Linked DNA regions of Arabidopsis thaliana. The protein of the gene in region 3 interacts with the protein of the main gene of each other region in a pairwise test. Each region holds a gene or a part of one and is shown on either strand. Other genes may lie near its edges.

Evidence for each region.
Region 1: the proteins of AGL6 (region 3) and AGL78 interact in a two-hybrid assay, tested with the Arabidopsis thaliana proteins (one large-scale study listed by BioGRID).
Region 2: the proteins of AGL6 (region 3) and AGL92 interact in a two-hybrid assay, tested with the Arabidopsis thaliana proteins (one large-scale study listed by BioGRID).
Region 4: the proteins of AGL6 (region 3) and AGL39 interact in a two-hybrid assay, tested with the Arabidopsis thaliana proteins (one large-scale study listed by BioGRID).

What each region holds. Positions count from the first base shown.
Region 1 is NC_003076.8:26,107,523-26,112,593, forward strand, and holds AGL78 (AGAMOUS-like 78), read left to right. Parts: upstream 1-2,803; coding exon 2,804-3,829; 3' UTR 3,830-3,881; downstream 3,882-5,071. Other genes in the region: AT5G65320 (basic helix-loop-helix (bHLH) DNA-binding superfamily protein), read right to left, coding at 94-495, 720-1,118.
Region 2 is NC_003070.9:11,321,612-11,327,225, forward strand, and holds AGL92 (AGAMOUS-like 92), read right to left. Parts: upstream 2,566-5,614; coding exon 1,308-2,565; intron 1,218-1,307; coding exon 1,081-1,217; downstream 1-1,080. Other genes in the region: ROPGEF14 (RHO guanyl-nucleotide exchange factor 14), read right to left, coding at 4,863-5,219, 5,292-5,614. UniProt on the Arabidopsis thaliana protein: Putative transcription factor.
Region 3 is NC_003071.7:18,802,161-18,808,257, forward strand, and holds AGL6 (AGAMOUS-like 6), read left to right. Parts: upstream 1-2,029; 5' UTR 2,030-2,292; coding exon 2,293-2,474; intron 2,475-2,974; coding exon 2,975-3,053; intron 3,054-3,183; coding exon 3,184-3,245; intron 3,246-3,365; coding exon 3,366-3,465; intron 3,466-3,538; coding exon 3,539-3,580; intron 3,581-3,657; coding exon 3,658-3,699; intron 3,700-3,792; coding exon 3,793-3,947; intron 3,948-4,034; coding exon 4,035-4,131; 3' UTR 4,132-4,426; downstream 4,427-6,097. Other genes in the region: AGL20 (AGAMOUS-like 20), read right to left, coding at 5,639-5,773, 5,999-6,040. UniProt on the Arabidopsis thaliana protein: Probable transcription factor. Forms a heterodimer via the K-box domain with AG, that could be involved in genes regulation during floral meristem development.
Region 4 is NC_003076.8:9,543,459-9,548,584, forward strand, and holds AGL39 (AGAMOUS-like 39), read left to right. Parts: upstream 1-3,088; 5' UTR 3,089-3,174; coding exon 3,175-4,095; downstream 4,096-5,126. Other genes in the region: AT5G27120 (NOP56-like pre RNA processing ribonucleoprotein), read left to right, coding at 1-226; AT5G27140 (NOP56-like pre RNA processing ribonucleoprotein), read left to right, coding at 5,084-5,126.

The DNA.
Region 1 (5,071 bases), on a different chromosome or scaffold from region 3:
GTTATTTCATATAAATTTATGTTAACTAACAACTTCTATAATCATATATATTATCTTTTTCCCCTAAAACAAGAGAGGAAGAGAATAGATTACCTTGACGCTAAAAGTGAAGAGAGACATGTCTTTGGAAGTTGTGAGGTTGAGATGAAGAGTACTTAAACCTAAAGAGTTAAACTCATTGATAATCTTGAAGAGCAATCTTGGCTGTGTCTTCGTTAACACTTTAATGTTGGCATGTCTTTCTACCATTGTAACCTCCACGTCAGCAACCACCTCTAGTCGCTTGTGATGGTGGTGGCTCGAGGAGGATGAGGAGGCAGTGGCGGTGGCAGTGGCAGTGGCGGTGGAGTATTGAGGGAACATGAAGAAGTCGGAAAATATATTTGGTGATTGATTGAGTTTAGTAGCTTTTAATTGGGCTTCGAGAGATTGGAGACGTTGTTCTAGCTTCTTCAGATAGCTAATGGTCCCTTCTATGATTGATGCTTGGTCATTCTATTATAGGAAAAACCCAAAAATTTATCAATTCGCAATTTTATTTAGTAATTGATTCAAAAACAAATATACTAAATTACTATTATTTAATTAACGGCTTACTTTTAATAAGGAACCTTAACACTCTTTGTCTAAACTAAATTTTAACCGAACATATCAAATTATCAACATTGCTTAGCCTGCTTATATCCTATAAGCTAAATTAAAGATAGAAAGAAACTCACAGGTTGAGAATAAGAGAGAGGCATCATAGACTTGAGGATAGACAGAAAATGATTCATCTGTTTTCTCCGGTTACGCTCGACGGCAATGTGATTCATCCTTTGATTCTCTTTATCTACAATCGTTTTTTCACTTCTCCTTCTCCTCTTCCGCGACAGAAAGTCACCGCAACCATATCTTTCTCGTAGAGGAGATAACTTTTCAGTTAAGTGAGATTTTTGCTCTGTTATGGAGCAGGAGAGTGTCGCTGATGAATAAGAAGAGGACGAAATGGAATTTTGCTGTGACGCCACGTCTTCAGAGTTCGAAACGACGATGTTTTGAAAGTAATCCAACATTTCGTAACTTAAGGATGTTTCCACGAGTGAAAAGCCATGAGGGTAATCTTGTTGGAACATCATATATAGCCTCTCTCTCTCTCAACCAAACGAGCACAAAAAGAAATGAAGGAGTTAATGCATAAAAGTTAATGGCTACGTTATCTTTTACACAAAGTAATGTTTATGCGTGTATTTATAATGGGGTCTTGTTGGTTTGTTTTAATTTATTAATCTTTGGAGGACTTTAATAATCAAATTTTCACGACGTTTATGTAAGAAATGAAGCCCTAGCTCTGAAGAGATCAACCATTTGATTAATTTTAACCCGATTTTACGCAATAAATTAAGAAACGAATGCAATAAATTCTTAATACTAAGATCAACAATTAGTTTATAACTTTATATTTTACCCGATTTTACGCTTTATATATCGTCATGAAATCTCTCATGTTTGACTAAGGGGTATTTTTTATACCATGGACTTTTTGCTCAAAACCTCAGTTACAAATAGAAATAAAAACTCTTACAATTGATGGAAAACAATCTATAGGGAGTTTATTTATTTATTGACTGCAATCAAATATACTATCAAATAAAGAAAATTGGATTATGAAATGAATCTAAAGGGATACTTCAGCAACAGATCCCACATAACATAATCCAATAAGAACGTTCAGAGATATACACAACAAATAAGAATGTTAACTTTCATGATCGCAAAACAAATCTTAATACTTTACCATTCAAGTAATATATTTAATGAGGCATAAACAATTTATATTTCTTTGTGATTGCCAATCACAATGTCGTTTTATATGATTGGTACATTTCATCTAACAAAGAAACGAGTCTATTTGTGAGTTGAAAATTCGTGATTTGTGGTTCACTATTGGATCGTCGTTATCAATCTGACATTAATTGTACCCTATTATATATATTGTTGTGTCTATAATAAGGCAAGCTGGTTACTACATTTGTCGACTTCCACATTCCCAATTATTGTGTATTTTCTTGACTAGCTAATACATATATAACAAGAATTAATCTTCCACAATATGAATTGTGATGCGTTTACAGTGGTAATTTTGCAATAAACAGAGTGAGTATATATATACCCTTCGAACATTTAGTTTTAATTATTTGAAGAGTGTTTTTATGTTAGTTATTTTTCACAACATTCTGATTGGAGAAACAATTTATAGATTTTTGAAAACCCTTAATTAACAACTATAACGTAAAAAAAAATTTGAAAAAAAAAGAAAAAAAAAAAGATAGAAGAAACCTAGAAATAAAATGAGTTGAAATCTTTCTTCAATTTTTTGAAAACCCTTAATTAACAATTAAGAGTTTTTTTCTTAGAGACAGATTTTCCTTTTTCCTCCAAGTTTTTGTTGCACAATTAATAATTACACAATCAAATCTATAGTATTTTTTTAATTAGATCTTAATTTTGTACAGCCTAAAATAAAGTACCATCGAGAAACTAATTAAAAGTTTCCTTTTTTTTTGGTCTCTACCATCGAGACATTAATTAAGGAAATCTACATTAGATATTGGAAATCGAATCGAATCGTAGGAGCGTAGATCTTCACGCCTCGCGATTAACAACGACGCGTCGCGTTTGCTTGTTCCCGTAGGCACCAAGGCATCTATATAAACATATTGAGTTCACAATGTTTCACCCTCAATTCGACAATACTTCTTCTTCGTGTGTTCTCTCTCTCGGAAAAAACCCTAGTTTCTTGCCGAATCAAGGCAAAGTCACGATGAAGCAAGCTTCTTCTTCTTCTTCGTCACGTAATTCAACAAGTTTAACAAATAGACTTAAAACCATCTTCAAGAAAGCTGAAGAGCTTTCGATTCTCTGTGCTATTGAGGTTTGCGTCATCTATTACGGACCAGACGGTGAACTGAGAACATGGCCTAAGGAGAGAGAGACAGTGAAAGACATGGCTTTGAGGTATAAAGAGGCCAGAAAACGCAAGAAGAGCCGCAATCTTCATGAGTTCCTCGAGAAGGAGAAGGACAAGGACAAGGGGAAGACGAATTTGAAGAAGAATTGGTATCCAAACTTTGATCATTACTCTCCTCAACAACTCTCTCAATTGATTCAGTCCTTAGAACGGACTCTTTCTACTCTGCAAGAAAGGCTTCGTATTGTTGAGGCGCAGAAACTACAGAACACAAACTTGGTGCATCAGAGTTTAACACCATCGTATCTGAACCAGACCCAACACTTGAATCCTAGCAAGTTCTCGCTGTTTATGTACAACCATGGAGATGCTACTCTCTCACAACTCCCACTGTCTGCTCCACACTCCAATCAACTCATCAATTACCAGAATCACTTGATGCAGCATGGTTTTGGTCAGAACATGTGTTCGGACAACATCACCAACAACAACTTTGAACATCCTGGCGTGTCAAACACACAAGACTACTCACCGTTACTTTCGGTACAAGCATCTGCAGTGAATAACTACGGGTTGAATAATCACTTGATGCAGCAACAGGATCAGCTTCATGGTTTTGATCAGAACATGTGTATGGTGAGTGAAATCATCAACAACAACAACGGTCTACAACATCCTAATCTCTCAAACACGGTTCCACATGAATTCTCTTCTGATTTCAACCAGAACCCTTATGGTAATGCGGTCGGTAACATTAGCTTCTCTCAAGACATGTTTTCAAGCTATGATGCGAGCAGTCTGCTACAGACATCTTCTCTGCCACCTCTCCACAACATTCCTAGCAGTTATTGTTTTCCTGGCAACTCAAGACTTCTCTGATAACAAAATCTGTCCAAAAGAATTTGTTTTTTTGAAGCTTCATTAAGAGTCAGTCAATAGTTAAGTAGCAAGCGGATCGGAGAGAGATTGAAGCTGTTTCTGCTTCCGATTTCTTCTGTTACTGTTTTTTTTAATATTTTATAGTGTCATTATAACTGCAAAACAAATCCATTTGTTTTTTTTTTTTGTTAAGAAAACAAATCCATTTGTGGAGATTTTGTTTTTACTTTTAAGTTGATACTTTTTTCAGTTAGTATTGACATATATATATGAACTTCCATAAAAAATCTTTCACAAAAACTTGCATGAAACAAATTATAATCTTAAAACCTTAATTCTTGCAACTTAGTATCCTTCTTGTCTGAATCAACTAATATATACAAGGAGATGGAGAGTGGATCTGAGTTCGTGAAGCCTCTAGACTTTTTGCAGAAGAAGAATCTCTGTGTAGTTTCTGAGTAATGGTATGAGGAAGAAGATAAAGATTGAGCTGATTGAATATCTGCAATTAAACTAGCCCTTGTGTTTTATCAAGAAAGTCGATATCACATTGCTCCAGCACTCCCCACTATTATCCAATTCTACAACAGCAACAACAATCCCAGCGAGTACCCAACAAACGATACGCAAAACCCACGAACCTTATCGCCGGAAGACCTCCGATTCTGTCGAGAGAGGAACACCACCGCGTAAAATAACCGGGAATTTGGTACGATTTTGTTTTTTATTTGATTTGGTTCGCCACAAGGTTAATTTGGTCTCAAAACTCAATCCTTTCACCAGGTTTTTATGGCCCGGCCCAATATTAATTTTTAAAGTCCATTTATTTGCAATAAGGCCTATTAGTAATACCCAATAAGCCGAAGATGCAGACGAAGACGATCATTATTGAGAGACATGTATGACGCGTTAAATTTACTTCAGTTTGTGTTTTTGAGATTGTGGTTGGTTAATGGTTACTGCTCAAGAACAAGAAACATAACATGGTGTGGTGTCAGATTTATCATTTTATGTTTCCTTCTTGCTACTAAGATTATATTACTTTTTGTTAAAGATTATAAGGATTATTACGTTATCACCCTGATTGAATAATCCAAGTTTTAGTTGACAAAACAAAAGGAAGAAGAATAATTCCAAGTTTTATGCAATATAGCTTAAATTTTTTGTTCCTCTCAAAATTCGATTATCAAGTTACAAAAAAATGTAATATTTTGCGGATCATCCAAAATAATGAGTAGAATT
Region 2 (5,614 bases), on a different chromosome or scaffold from region 3:
CCTAAAATATACCTTATTTTCTTAATATCTCAGCTTTTTATTTAAAATTTTCAGAAGAGCCAAATCAATTTAACCATATTCAATCTTAATACAGTCTTTAAAACGGTTTTTAAAGGAGAAGCTTCAGGTGGCACGCATCGAACTAGGAAGACCCTCTAAATCAAGGAGAAGTATCAGAAGGCACTTTACTTAAACACCACAGTCTACTGCTTCTACTTGGAGTTGTATTCACTGAATTACCTGCCTTAGCAACTGCAAACAAAAAATAGAAAACCAGTCTCTGTCCCATCGGAGAGGCCTTACACGGGACCAAAGCAAAGGCCTTTGGGGTGCTCTTTAGGGTCACATGAGCTAAGGATGCTACTCGGTGGTGCAAGGGAGTTATAACTCTTTCAAGATTTCTCCCATTCTTGAAAGAATCCAGAAAGCAAGATTCGCAAGTGTTCGGGAATATGCTTCAAGAAGCCCATGCATGACCAATGTCCTGAAAACAAAGAAGAAGGATTTAATATCGACAAATAATTGTATTGTAAAGTATGACATGTTTCAGAACATAAACTAAGAAAGATGTAATTAGTTCTGTTTATGTTTACATTGCCATATTGGATCTTTGTGGCATTAAGAAACGAGTGAGGAAGATTAGAGTGTTTGGATTTGATCTGATTTCTAAGCGCTTCTTTTCGGTTCAAGAGTGATTCACTGCGACCAATTTCAACAATGGTTCTCCTCGTATATATACTCAATGGTACTTCTCCTCCTATATATACAACTTCCGTCCTGAACTCTCTTCAAAATATTTAATCATATAAGTATTTAACCATAATGAAGGCTTGAAAAGTATTGATGTTTTTTGGAAACAAAATCCTATCTGATTTTGGCAGATCTATTTAGTTATGCATTTTAAGAACAAAAAGCTCGTAAAAAATAATTTGTGACCAAACAGAAATGACTTCATTGAAATAGAACTGACTTAAAGGTAAAACCTTCAACTCTTACAACAACTAATTGAAAAGGAAAAGCATAATTAAATACTGGTCTTTTAAAACAAACAAAACACAAAATGCACACTACTGAAACACATCACACATTGTTGTTGTTGTTGTTGTTGGTGGTGGTGGTGGTGGTGGAAGGCATGTGACCGGTGGAAGTAAGACCAACGGTTGGTGGCTGGTGGTAGTTGTAGTAGTTTCCGTCCATGAAAGGGATGTGTGCATGCTCTCCAACATAACCCGCTTATTCATAAGGATATTCTGTCAACATATTCATGAATGGATCATTTTGAAACGGATACTGATTTGGATCCAAACTCATATTCTGGTTCAAATTCATATCATAGTTTCCTTGTTGAATCTGATGATTAAAATCAACAGGAGCTTGGTATTGAACCGGCTCCTGTTGATTTTGATTCAAATTCATATTCTCAAACTGAAAATGATCACTAAAACCAGTAGGGACATAGGGCTGAACCGGCTCATACTGATTCTGATTCATAGGAAGACCGGCACCTGCAACACCAAGAGCTTGGTAGTGAACCGGCTCTTGTTGATTTTGATACAAATTCATATGCTGATATTGAACATTATCACTAAAAACAGTAGGGATATAAGGCTGAACCGGCTCATACTGCAACTGACTCATAGGAAGACCGCCACCCGCGACAGCAAGACTCTGGTAGTGAACGGGCTCATACTGATTCTGAGTCATAGGAAGACCGGCACCCGCAACAGCAAGAGCCTGGTAATGAACCGGCTCTTGTTGGTTTTGATTGAAGTTCATATTCTGATATTGAATATGATCACTAAAACCAGTAGGGACATAGGGCTGAACCGGCTCATACTGATTCTGGTTCACATTCATGTTATGAAATCCAGTAGGAACATTAACCGCAGCTTGATCTGCAACAACAGGAAGATTGGCACCCGCAACAGCAAACAGAGGAGGAACAGTTACCGCAGCTTGATCAGCAACAACAGGAAGATTGGCACCCGCAACAGCAAACAAAGGAGGAACAGTTACCGCAGCTTGATCTGCAACAACAGGAGGATTGGCACCCGCAACATCAAACAGAGGAGGAACAGAAGAAGAAGACTCACCATATTCTGTAAGGAACTTCTTCCTGGCATTAAGCTGATTAAGATATTGATCAGTAAAAAGACTTAAATCTTGAAGGTCCCTTGCACCATACTGTTGCTCACTCATCTTGCCTCCAACGCAATCAAACATAAAATGCTTAAGCTGAGTTTCTCGGTTTTCACGACGTAGACTCTCTAGTTTGTTTTGTTCTTTGGTGATTTGGTCCCGCAAGAAAGTCTCATGACTCATCATCGTCTTGGACCGTTCTGTCGCCGGCTTCTCCATGAACTCCGAAATCACCTCTTGAACACCTTCGGTTGACGGCCACACCGTTGGATTCTCGAACGGACTGTAGATTACCGCACATGCTTTGATGTCACAGAGAGTTGTCAGCTCGTGGAGTTTCTTCCTTATCCCTGCATTCCTCTTCCTGAATGTGGCTCTCCGAAAGTGTCTATCAGGTATGAGTACTAACTTAGTCTTCGTCCTCATTATCTTTATTTTTCTTTTCTTTGGTGTTTGTGTTTGTTTAGTTTCTTGGCCCAAGACTGTTTATATAGCAACGAAAAGGGTGATTTTTTACTCAGGGTGTGGCTTATCACGTTTCTGGACTCATTAATTTGTAGTTACAGCATTAAATCTTTTGGCTACTGTCTTATTAATTGATTAGGCCACTAATTAAAGCTATGACTAAGATTGGATTCTCTTTTCTCTTTACTAAATATAGTTTATCTTCGTATATTACTCACTTTTCTTTTAAGAGTAATATTAAGCTTTGATAAACTGTGAAAATTTCTAATATTTTAAGTGTTTTTCTTTTCTTTTCGAATAGAGTTTTACAGCTTAATTTCCATGTAAAATCATGAATATATAAAAGCTTAGGAACTTTGTTTATCTATAGTAAAATTATTTCGGGAAAGAATTAACGTGTCTTACGAAATATTTAGAACGAGCGAAAATTTTGAAATATGTAGACATTAAAGGAAGCCTACATAGAAAAAAGTTTGTAAACCAATATAATAAAATAATAAATATCATTAAAATTTCTATCATGTTTTAATATATAAAAAATGCTCTTTTATATGTATAAAAATTTATCTTTACAATAATAAAATATAAAAAATAATAATAAAGTAATAAAGAAATTTTTCCTTATAAAATATTAAAATCACAGATTTAGTTATATGAATTAAATTTTTAATAAAATATTTTTAAAAAATCTGCCATGGCCAGAAGGTCCATCTAATTTTGTTTAGTCAATAAGTTGATTTTAATTAAAAGGAAATAAGGGTAAAACTGTCTTTATACATTAATATAATAATATATATGGATTTTTTCCATCTTTTGACTTATACACTAATATGACTATTTATGACATTAAAACGTATCAATTAATGTACACGTGTAAAATCATGATTGGATATAAAAGAAAATCAGTTATTTTAGAGATAAATTATGAATTCATGCATATATTATACCTTTTGGAGCATATATTTTTCTTAATTTGGTTAAAATATTCATTGTACTGCCAGCTAATTATGAGCTGTAAATATTTGAAACTAGAAATTTGACAAGAGGTTTAGAGCACTTCCAATGGTTTTCACATATCCCAAAAAAGTATCCCAACTTTTAAAGTCTTAATATTTTTAATAATTTTAATTTAAAAATAAAAATGAACAATTAAAAAGAGACAATTGTAAAGTTCTAGTTAGTATACCCAAAGTTCTTATTTGAGAAATTTTCTCTTCTTTCTATCTTAAATTTTTTTTTAGTTATGATTATAATGGGGGAGTATCTTATTAAGACCCTCCAATAATTTTCATTTTTATTTATATGTCTAGTTAGGATGTTTGAACTATATATATAGGTCATGTTCAAAAGTTTAGTTAAAGATTTTTTAAATATGGTAAAATAATCTTTTGAAAAGTTATAGGTCCTTATTGAGTTATATGTATATGAAATTTTTTACAAGAACAGTTTTTTGGTAATCAAGATCCATTTGATCTCTATACTTGCTATATTGAAAACAATTATGGTCTGTTCGATTTTCTTTGAGTTAGTAAGCATAATTGGCCTTTAACAATATTTTGTGTTAGTATCGGATGGCACAGTTGAACTTAAATCCAACCCAAAAAACCTCATTAGTGTCGGGATGATAGACGAAGTGAAGCTTGCCATTTTGTTATACTTATTAGGTAGTATGTACAAACGGAAACTCATTAAGGCTTTGTGCTAATTTCAAATTATCCTTAAGCCCATAATATGTACATATCCAACCAAGATAGATCCCTTCTAAATGAAGACTTCTTATACTCCAATCTTGCTAGTGACTTAATGGAAGTGTGCAAAAGATAGTGGCTTGGTGAAAATACCTGTTAGTTGATCATTTGTCGAGATGACAGCTAATGCTTCATTCAAAGATGGAAGTCGGGATAGTAACCTAATTGAGATTCAAATTAGATTTCAAGAAAGTAGTAATTAAAATGATTCTAGTCTAGTATATTATAAATAGATTATGGTTTTGGACATTTTTGTTTTGAATATACCTTATTTTGTAAAGTATTTTCTGGAAGAGACTAATAAATTTAATCATAATCAATCGTATCAATTTTTTTTCCCGGATTAAAAATTTGCTTTTCACCGTGAAGTTATGAACAAAATTGTATGAATTCGTACTTTAACTGCAATATGTTAATACATTTACAACATCTCAGGCTTCATAATTTAAAACCTTCAAAGTAAAGGAGAAGCTTCAGGTGGCACGCATCGAACTAGGAAGACCCTCTAAATCAAGGAGAAGTATCAGAAGGCACTTTACTCAAACACCACAGTCTACTGCTTCTACTTGGAGTTGTATTCACTGAATTACTTGCCTTAGCATCTGCAAACAAAAAATCTAAACCAGTCTCTGTCCCATCGGCTTTGTTCATGTCATCGGTTAAAGAATGCCTTACACGGGACGAAAGCAGAGGTCTCTCAGGTGTCCTATAAGGGTCACGGGAGCTAGGGAAGCAACTCGGTGGTGCAGGAGAGTTAGGGTTGCTTAAAGAATCTTCTTTCAAGATTTCTCCCATTCTTGAAAGAATCCGGAAAGCTAGATTCGCAAGTGTTCGGGAATATGCTTCGAGAACCGCATGACCTATGTCCTGAACACAGAGAAGAAAGATGTTTCAGACCATTGGACTAAGAAAGATGTAGTTAGTTTTGTTTATTTATACCTTGTCATATTGGATCTTTGTAGCATCAAGAAACGAGTGAGGGAGATTAGGGTGTTTGGATTTGATCTGAGTTCTAAGCGCTTCTGCTCGGTTCAAGAGTGACTCATTGCGACCAATTTCAGACAACGGATCTTTAGCGAATGACCACGATGCTCTTACAGGGGATTTACCATTGCTGCCTTGTTCTGTAATCCTTTCTTTCCAAGCAAACATAGCAGATTCTAACTTGTTAACTGTCTCGAGTGCTGCATGTTCGGTTCCCAGATTGAGCGATATAAAGATTTCATCTACTGTTGCAGATTCCACAGCCAACATCTTGTACA
Region 3 (6,097 bases):
TCTATGAAACTCGTCCAAACATAAAAAGGTTTTTATATCATCAAACGTACGACTTTCCTTTGTTATTTTCTTGGATTGGACACAACGAGATTGGTTTGGTCACTGTCCGATCTAGTTATTGATATATATATATATATATATATATATATATATATATATATATATTTTTTTAATATAATGTAGATGTAGCCCACTAACTTTTGATAAGCTTTCATTTTTCTATACTTTCATTTTTCTATAATGTAAAAAGATAGATGAAAATGAAACTACTAGATTACAACTTTTTAACAAAAAATAAAAAACTACTAGATTACAGCTCTTGATTGGTTGATAACTTGATATCATATATCGTGTTTGTAGTTGAAGATGTAAAGATTTATCATCTTGTATTTGAATTTTGCACAATATATAATGTGATGATTCTATGTTTGTTTGTAAACTTATGTGCAAATGGGCGATAACTAAACGTTCGTAAAATAGTTACATGTACTAATTAATCGAAGCACATAAATATTATATATATATATATGTATATATATGAAACGATTCATTGATTTTAAGTATTTAATTTATTTTTTAAGATTTTAGTTGTCTTAACCTCGTACGAAGAAGAAGGATATATACTATTTAACTCGTGGAGATGATGAGGTTCGGATATTTTTCCTTAAGACCACAAGACACTGACACGCCGACTGATCGATAAAAAAAGTTAAGGCCTACAATACAAAAGAGTAGCAGATTCCCTTACACGTGTTTCATTTATGATCTGTTAATTAACTCCATTGAGCTTCAATATCTCATTAGCCGAAAATTAACTTGACGTTTTCCATTGAACTGTCGAAAAAATTTGTAGAAAAAGTGAAATGTCCCCTATTTAACTTCCAAGTTTAAAACCTAAAATTAATTAGTTACCGTTTTGATGAATAACGTTGAAAGAATCGTCAACATATCAAATGATGCAGATACAACAAGGGACAAAAACATCAAAAAATTGATTAAAAATAATCATTCAGATATTAGCAATTAAACTGTAAGTAAATGATTGCATATATATATATGAATGAATACATATATATGTATCAAACTGTAAGTAAATAATACATACATATATATATATATATATAGGAAAATATCTCATTTTTCAATCATTTTCAGAGGTAAACATTTTTAAAGACAATTTTACCTAACCCAACATCTTACTATATTTAACCAGCTCTGCGAGAGCTTCAAAACAATGATGAATTTTCTGCCCCTTTTCATTGACCAAATAAAAGTTCACAAATTTGTAAAACCAATCAGCATTAATTTCGCACGTAGTTTACTTCGTCCGATTTTAGATCAAGTAGACATTTTAACCAAACATATTGAATCACGGTTCAATCAAGATACATGGTTGCGAGTATAATATATCAATCCTTCACCGCATTAGAAAACCAAATTTTCTATTTAATTTAGCGTGTTCTTTTAATGAACGCAGCGTCAGCGACAACAAAGAAGAAAAACAGATCTGCGGCGAGAAAAAATACATTGATTAGAGAAGAACTGCCGCAAAAGATGTACGATGATGAAGATTGACGTGACGCTGCTTAATTTCAGCGATTCATTTGATGCAATTGCAATTCATCGGCTATCATCGGCGACTCATCCGAAATTGTTATTTTCAAGCTTTAATGTCGTTTTACTTACCTACTACTTCTCATGACACGTCGTTTCAGTCCGCTATTGCCGCTGGCGCAGCATCAAATAAAAGAACACGCTAGGATAGCTTGAAAAGGGTACAATAACTAGTTATAGAAGAACATGAGCCATAACATTTGGAAACAAAATGAGTTAGTTTGAATTTGAAACATCGCGCTCTATGTAAAAAAAGCAAAAAAGAAAAGAAAAGAGTCCTAATAATTAAAAAGAGAAAATAAAAGGAATTTTCAATGGTCCGACTGTTACAAGTAGATTTCCATTTTTAGGAATCTAGCTATAACGATGAAGACAGAGTTATCATTTTGTTCCATCAAATATATGACGATATTTATATTTAATTTCTTCAACAACAAATATCTCATTTGTTGGTGCCACTTTCACATACTTAGGACGACTAATAATTAATTAAAAAGGATTTATGTAATAACGCACCATATTAACCTGTAACAAGAAGAATTGAAAGTAATACAAGTTTATATATATAGCAACACATTTATCGTGTACGATACTTTATTCCTTTTATCTATTCTTGAAAAAAAGTTACCAATTCTTGAGAAGAAGAAGAAATCAGAATCAAGAGAAGGAGAGAGAAAGATGGGAAGAGGGAGAGTGGAGATGAAGAGGATAGAGAACAAGATTAATAGACAAGTGACCTTCTCAAAAAGAAGAAACGGTTTGCTGAAGAAAGCTTATGAGCTTTCTGTTCTTTGCGATGCCGAAGTTGCTCTCATCATCTTCTCAAGCCGTGGCAAGCTCTACGAGTTTGGTAGTGTTGGGTATATATATCTTTGCTCCTTTGAACCAACTTTTGTGCTATATATATTAAGATTCATCCAATAAAGCTATGTTTTTTATATGAAAATTGATTAATAAATGGGTTCATTTGCTACTTGTTACATCGTACGATTCAAGAGTCGGATCATGTTTTGATCTTGTGGTTATTCTTAATGGTTGTATCGTTTATCCTGTGGTAATTAGGGTTCATCGTTATATCGTGTCTCCCTCTTGGATCCTTTATCATAAGCTAATAGGTCCTTCCGTACGTTATAATTTGTTGATTTCCCATTCATGAATTCCTTTGATTCTTTAATCTTACAGATGACAGGTTTCAAATGGGTTTAATTCTAGCTTTAAAAAAAAAAAAAACAAACAAACTAGGGTTTTCCCTTTTAGATCAGTGTGTAAGATATATAACTTGAGTTCTTGTCGTAAGAAGAATCTTTATTTGTTGAATCGAGCTAATGATCTCCCATTTTTGTTTTAATTGAATTTGTAGAATTGAAAGCACAATCGAACGGTATAATCGTTGTTACAACTGCTCTCTAAGCAATAATAAGCCTGAAGAGACTACACAGGCAAGTGTGTGTACGTACTTTGAATATATTTACAATTATTGTTTCTGATGATAATGATTCTAGCTAACTCTATTTTCTCAAATTCTCATGTTACTATATATATGCATTTCATATAATCTATATGGTGCAGAGTTGGTGTCAGGAGGTGACAAAGCTTAAATCCAAATACGAATCTCTTGTTCGTACTAACAGGTCTAGTAATTAAGAGTTTTCTATAACCCCTTGAAATTAAATCGTTATTGTCATCTTCCATTATATATGTATAGTTACAAATCTATTGTTATGGGTGTTGATAATTGCTAATTATAAAAGGAATTTGCTTGGAGAAGATCTTGGAGAAATGGGTGTGAAGGAACTGCAAGCGCTCGAGAGGCAGCTCGAAGCCGCTCTTACCGCGACTCGACAGCGCAAGGTCACATGATCTAGACTGGTCTTGTTTCATTAAAAATATATTCATAACTAAAACATTCAACTAAAATATGCAGACACAAGTTATGATGGAAGAAATGGAAGACCTTAGGAAAAAGGCAAGTTATATAAAAATGTTTCATACCAAACTGCAAAACATATATGCATATCAATCAATCTATGTTTGAAATGGCAGGAGAGGCAACTAGGAGACATAAACAAACAACTCAAGATTAAGGTTTTTATTTCTAGACATCGCAAAATTATATTATAACTTCTCATATAATTAATTATGACATTTGGATCTTAACTAAACATAAATTTTCAATAGTTTGAAACGGAAGGCCATGCTTTCAAAACCTTTCAAGACTTATGGGCAAACTCGGCGGCATCGGTGGCCGGGGATCCAAACAATTCTGAATTTCCGGTAGAGCCTTCTCATCCTAATGTATTGGATTGCAACACCGAACCCTTTTTACAAATAGGGTAAGAATATACCATTTTTCCCGGCCCTTACAAATAAATGGATAGAAATAAGATATGATTATAAGACTTGTTTGGTATTTGGATTAGGTTTCAACAACATTACTACGTGCAAGGTGAAGGGTCTTCGGTATCAAAGAGTAACGTGGCAGGTGAGACTAATTTCGTCCAAGGTTGGGTTCTTTGACTCTCTGTTGATTAGACCACGATGCCACGGTCAGGCCAATTTCAGCTCTCTACAGTTGTTCTTTTTTCAAATTAGATTTCTGGGTTTTTTTTTCCTATAAGAAAAACTTTTGCACTAGATGTTTGTCATTTAATTTCCAGCTCGTGTGAATCTATATTCGCATGTATGTGCTTTGAAGAATTTCTCCTCTTACTCCTACTTGATCTAAAACATTATTTTTGTTTTGGTTTTACCAACATTTTCCAAATGAAATAAACTTTAATAATTGTTCTAAAATCAATTAAATGAATAGATTTATTTGGCATGAATACTATTAAATCTCAGACATATATTTATGAATGCTGAATTGTGAATAGTAGGAACAAATAATAAATCGTGCGACGTCGAATCAATTGGGTGACGAATAATCAAAGGAGGATTCAGCTCAACTACGCAAGTAGGAGTAATGAACTTCCGAAACAATTGGGTGAGTAAATGAAATCAACCTGTAACTAAAAAAATGAACGAATAATAAAATGCCACGTAGTTGACCTTGGAAAAAGCGCAATGATATGAAGCCAGGTAGGACCCACATTGCTGTTTCTTGATTTGACTTTTGGAAGAGAAGAGCTCCTCTTTCTTTAGCAAACTTTACTGTTGTTGATATATGTCTTTTCCATAAAGTCTTCATATTTATTGAGGTTTTTTTTTTTTTTTTACATACTAGAATTTAAGTTTTTAATACTCTCTTATATTTATGGGCTGTTATCGCAAAGTAGGCCCTTTTATAAGTGGGCCATTACAAAATAAATTCATGGGCCCATATAAATGTTAACGGCACATGTCATATCACAATCATGTATCTCTATTATCTAAAGATTCTAAACGATTTGAAATATTGGATTATGCGTATAATGTTTTTTTTTTCTTTGATGGGCTAAAAGCCTCTACAACATTTGGATTTATGCCCTAAATCTCCTCTCCCGGTGATCTTTTGAACTTGCTTGGGGGGGACGCAACTTCTTCCAAGACAGTCACACATGCTACTAGACCGATCTTTGTATTGTAGAGTTGCCACCGTTGTCGTGTATCAGCTCTTCATCTGAAATGATGCAGTTATTGATTTTTGGCCAATGGATAATGTTTAATGTGCTCTCATAATTTTCTTTATATTTTTTTACCAGTTTGGGAAGTTCTAGACCTCTAGTCTCTCGACTTGAGAAACCAGTAAGTTATATAGTACAGATATTCCTGATTTTATGATTTTGAGGGAAGAAAGCTAAATTGATACATGAAAACAAAACATAATCAAAATTACATTCTAGAGAGGCAAGTGTAAGAACATAGATACATAACACAAGCAGTTCAGAATCATTAAAGAAGTGACTGAGAGAGAGAGAGTGAGAGAGAAATAAGACAACAAGAGAGAAGCAGCTTTAGAGTTTTGTTACTTGTCCTTATACACTCTCAGTACTGCTAAACCTGTTTTTACTTAGTTTGTTTTTTTGTTTTTTTTGTTGAGTGGAGATCACTTTCTTGAAGAACAAGGTAACCCAATGAACAATTGCGTCTCTACTTCAGAACTTGGGCTACTCTCTTCATCACCTCTTCCAGTACTTTCTTGATTCTTATTTGACCAAACTTCGCTTTCATGAGATCCCCACTGCATTCAAATAGAATTATTACACAAAATTAATAGATGCAAATTAGAAGATATATAGAACAATACATAAATTAAAGAAGGTTGATGATTGAAGATAACCAAGAAAAACTAGTAAGGACTCTCCTAACCTAATAACCCCCAAAAAGAACCCCAACTTTCTTATCTTTACCGAATAAAAAAACGAATGTGCAACCCTAACTTGAGACCCATAAGAATATATTATACCTTTTCAGAGAGCTTCTCGTTTTCTGCAGCTAGAGCTTTCTCCTGCAAAAGTTTTAGATTCCAATTTGTAAAAAGCAAGCACAAGAGGCTTACTTACTT
Region 4 (5,126 bases), on a different chromosome or scaffold from region 3:
CAAAAAGAAGAAGAAGAAGGCTGATGATGAGGAAGAAGCCAAAACTGAGGAGCCCTCAAAGAAGAAATCGAATAAGAAGAAGACAGAAGCAGAACCTGAAACCGCCGAAGAGCCTGCAAAGAAGGAGAAGAAGAAGAAGAGAAAACACGAGGAAGAGGAAACTGAAATGCCTGCTAAGAAGAAGGAAAAGAGTGAGAAGAAGAAGAAGAAGAAAACTGAGGTCTGAAGAGACCTTTAATATTTTTGCGTGGTCTAGTTTACTTTGTTATCAGAAACAAAGAAAATCTTTTGTGGCGTTAGGTGTTAAGTAAGGTTTTTGTTTTGTTTGAAACTTAAAAAAAAGAACTACTCTTCGTTTTGTAAGGTTATAATATGTTTGGTTTAGTCCTTATCCCAGAAACTTGCATTTTGCCAAACGAGTCAAGACCTTACCGTTAAATCCTTCTAATCTTAGTATAACGTAATTACTCATAGTTGATTAGTTCATAAATTTGTAAAGATCAGTCCGAAGAGTCGACATTTTTCATCAAGTGTATCATTGACATTTTAAAAAACCTTGTACAAAATGAATATTTGTGAGTCTAAAAAGTACCTTAATAGTCAATTGGAAATGGATTGGGTTGAGCATAAGGCAAATCATACCAGACCTTAGAAATTTCAAAAGATAAATAAAATCTAGAGTCTACCTACTTTGTGTGTGTATATATTTTTATTGTGCTATAAATTTTGTGATGAATATGAATCAAAATTCTTTCTGAATATTTCGTGATAATGGTTCCGTCAATATCAAAATTTACTACTGAACATATATGTTTTAAAATATTTAACTGGATTTTAATTCATAAAGTTTTTTTTATTTTTAATTAAATTTAGTTGCCGTGGAAAAAGTTTAATCTATAGTGTTTTATGTAATCATTGTAGGTAATGTTCAAAAAATCTGCCTAGACACCTATCGAACTGGATTTTAATTTATAAAGTCTTTTTATTTGTAAGTAAACTAGTAGGCAGCCCGTGCCTTGCACGCAAAACAACAATACCAATAATATATTTCGTGTCTTTGAAATTTGCAACAATTACACAAATGACGAATATCACAACCTCACAAAATACAATGTGTATCACACATTGCTCTATAACTCTCAATAAAAGTCCTATTCAACTTTACTCAAATTGTAAAATAATATATGTGTTAAAATTAAGAAAACTTTTATTGGAAACAGCAAATAATCTTACATAAATACACTAACTTATCTCATAGATATATAGAAAAAAATATATATATATATACAGAGCCGTTTTTTCTTCTCAAAAAACTTAACAATAATAATGATGGAGAAATGAATTACCTTCTAACCAAAACGCTTTTCTAAACTTGAACATATAAGATGGTTTCACATTTAAATTATTTTGCACACTACACCGTGGAAGAAGATGTCATGTCATGCCACCCATCTCTCAATTTGGTTATCTTCTTCTTCTTCTTCTTCTTTTTCTGAATTGAAAGCCCCAAAACATTTGCATCCATTTTGTTTCTATATGATTCTCGCAAACTCATGTGGTCATTTTGTAGCAGCGGGTGTGCATGGAAAATGTAAGAAGATAAGACCAAGTAAAACGCAACAAAACGGCCAAAGGTTTATTGATATTCATACCAGCGATTGGGTGGACCAAACTCAGTGAGTCGTGAGGGGTTAACAGCGTCCATCACATTAGGTATCACAAAAGTCTCAACTTTCATTATTTACGTCATTCTTTCGTTTCTCTGGTAGACGTATTTAGATGAAAGAATGGAGGATCTAAGATTATGAGAAAGGAAAGAAGAAGAAGAATTTAAACCTGTTTTTATCTTCTTGAGAATGGCTTATACGGTTGCTCTTGAGATCGTAAATTAACTGGCAGAGGGTTTGAAAGATGGGAGAGAAAGTAAAGAATCTTAATAACGTGGAAGAAGTAGTTGCTGAAAAAGTGGTTAAAAAAATTTAAATTTATCTTTTGTCAAAAAAGAATATTCTATTGAATAGTAAAAGGAAGTGAATTGGTTTACGATTGTGGAAGTGCAAAATTTTAGACTTAAAGCATACGTGTCAAAATGAGAAGCTTACAGTTTTTTTAAAAGTGACTGTTGATTTAGTATTATTAGATTTAGTTGCCGCGAAAAAGTTTAATATATAGTGTTTTATGTACTTATTATAGGTAATGTTCAAAAAAATAGCCTAGACATCTATCGAACGTCTAGCTACCGTACAACGATTTTTTGAACATTGATTATAGGTAACTAAATCTACATATACATTTTTGCCGCCATTTTGTGAAATAAATCTTAGAGTTGGAACTTATTTATAATGGCTGCCACTAGCTTTTAATTATTGTTTTTTTTGCAATAAATTAATTAACAAGCAAAAAAAATTCCAAATATATTCTAATCCCATATATCACGCAGATTTCTCCAAAATTGAACTAAATTTCGGTAACTATTTAAAACAAAAAATGTTTGACAAACCAAAATACAATTGCAATCCCTTAAAATGAGCAAAATGCACCTAAATACATTTCTTATCAATTCACTAAATCTAATTTCTCCAAAATTTGAATTAGATTTCGACAAATATTTTTAAAAAAATTTGTTTGACAAACTAAAATACAATTGCAATCCCGTAAAATATTTATTTTAATTATATATTTAAATTAACGGTGTACCACTGGGTTTTTTTACGGGACGAGTTTGGCGGAACGGGTTTGAAAGAACGTTACTTAATAACAATTGTAAACTATAAAATATTTTTATTTTATAGATAGATATAATTTGCAAACTTTTATATATACTGATTTAAAAAAATAAATTATTTCTACGGTATAACGCGGGTTAAAATCTAATATTTAGATAATTTTGAATATCCAATATATATGTTTAATTGTTTATAGTAGTAATAATTTTTTTCTGCTATTGTTGTAATAAAAGAAATCTCTAAAACGTTTTAGTAGGAAAGAAAAAAAACGTTAAATGCATAGAAATAAAGTTGGGCAGTAAAAGGAAAACAACAAGACCTAATTAAGTTTGACATATATAACTCAGGCGGCTATTACATCTATAAATATGGGTAATATATCTATCTTGCTTCTACTCTCTCTTTTCACTTTTTCTCTGTGTCTATTTGTCTCTCCGTAAGAAACATTATGCCTTCATCTGATTCCACGATGATGAAGAAAGGAACAAAGCGCAAAATCGAAATAAAGAAACGAGAAACCAAAGAGCAACGAGCCGTGACTTGCTCTAAACGCCGTCAAACTGTTTTTTCCAAAGCCGCCGATCTCTGTCTTATCTCCGGTGCTAACATCGCCGTCTTCGTAACCTCTCCCTCCGATAGTTCCGATGTTGTCTATTCCTTCTCCGGTTACTCCTCTGCCTACGAAATCGCTGATTGTTACCTAAATCGCAAGCCTCCACCCAAGATTGTTAACCCGGCCGGATCCAAACTAGGATTTTGGTGGGAAGACCCTGATCTCTACCATTCGTGTGATGATCTCTCTGAGTTAAGCATTATCGAGGATCGTTTACAGAGAATGAAGAAGCATGTGATGGCTTGCCTTGAGAAGGAAGAAAAATCTCAACTTGTTTCTAGTTTCGACCAAAACCCTAATAGTACTTGTTCTCTCGACGTCGAGGATTGTGATGGATCTTCTTATTCGCAAATTGCTTCTACTTTTACTCCAAACTCTGTCAACGAGTATTGCAGCGATCAAACCTTTTCTTCTTTCCATGGCGATCAAAACCCTAACCTCTCGTCTCCGTCTTTTGATCAGGACTGTTACTCCTCTCTCTATCAGATCTGTGGAGAATCATCTTCACAAGTTGCTTCTTTTGATCAAAACCCTAGCTCCGAGATCCAAGGATTTGAAACAGAGGAAGAGATTAACCAAATCAATCTACTACTACAAGAAACACAAACAGAGGCCAATGTCAATTTGGATGATGAGATCTGCTTTTGGAATGATCTATCCAACGATGATGTGTTTGGTCTAAACAGCTACTTCGGTCTCGATAACACCAATGCAATGATCAACTTCGGAGATTCCGACTTTAGACGTCATGTCTGATATGATGTGGTTGTAATCTTCAGAACTTGTTCTGATTTTGTCTCATTGTAAACAGAGATTCTTGATCCAATTTAAGTTTTTGTAAACCTTTTTTCCTTTATTGTTTGATACTCTGATGTGAACCCTTTCGAAGTTGAAAGTAAATTGTTTGAATCAGTTTTGCAATTCCACTTACTAGTTTGTTGATGTTAAATTCAAGTTAGTGATTTGAATTTGGATTCTCAGAAAAGAAGAACACAGTTTTTGGAGCTTTTGCTTGTAATTTTACATGAGTTTTAGCCTTTAGCTGAACACTTTTTGATTCCTTAATGGTCATCTTGTTAGGTGATGTGTTTGAACTTTGAACAGAGTACTTGAGATTAATTTAAGATTATGTATGTAACGTAGATTAGATGAACATATTTATACCAACATTTTATTAAAAAAGTAACTATAATCATTTTTCGAATTAGTAATTAATTTTATAGTTTCTTTAAGGTAATCATATATTTTACAATTTGTATATTAAAATTAGCAGATCAAACTCTGTTTTTGATAGAGAATAAATAAACTTTGTTTTTGATAATCTTTTCCCTTAGAAGTAAGGTCGGTTATTTTGACATCTTTAAAAATTAATTGTATAATTCTTTTTAGAAATATACCATTTTAAGAAAATAAGAATAGTTTTTTTTTTAAAGGTTTTTTTTTAGTTTTTTGTGAAAATTATATTTTCACATGTTTTTTTTCCGTAACTTTTTAATAGAAAATCATATATTTATTTTCTTATATATATAGATCGTCGATTAAGAATCTCGAACCCTTATAGCAAATTCGTTGCTCCTCTTTTTTTCTTTCTCTAACGCAGCAGCTTTGCTTAAATCCTCTTAGGTATTTATTGAATCTTTCTCCGTTGTCAGTGGAACGTGGCTTCCAAGTATTAGTTTTTGACTAAGTATAGTTCTGACTTTGAGATGTTGAGTTGATTAAAGGGTTTCTCGTAATCTTAAAGATGCTCGTACTGTTTGAGACGTCAGGTGGTTTTGCACTCTTTA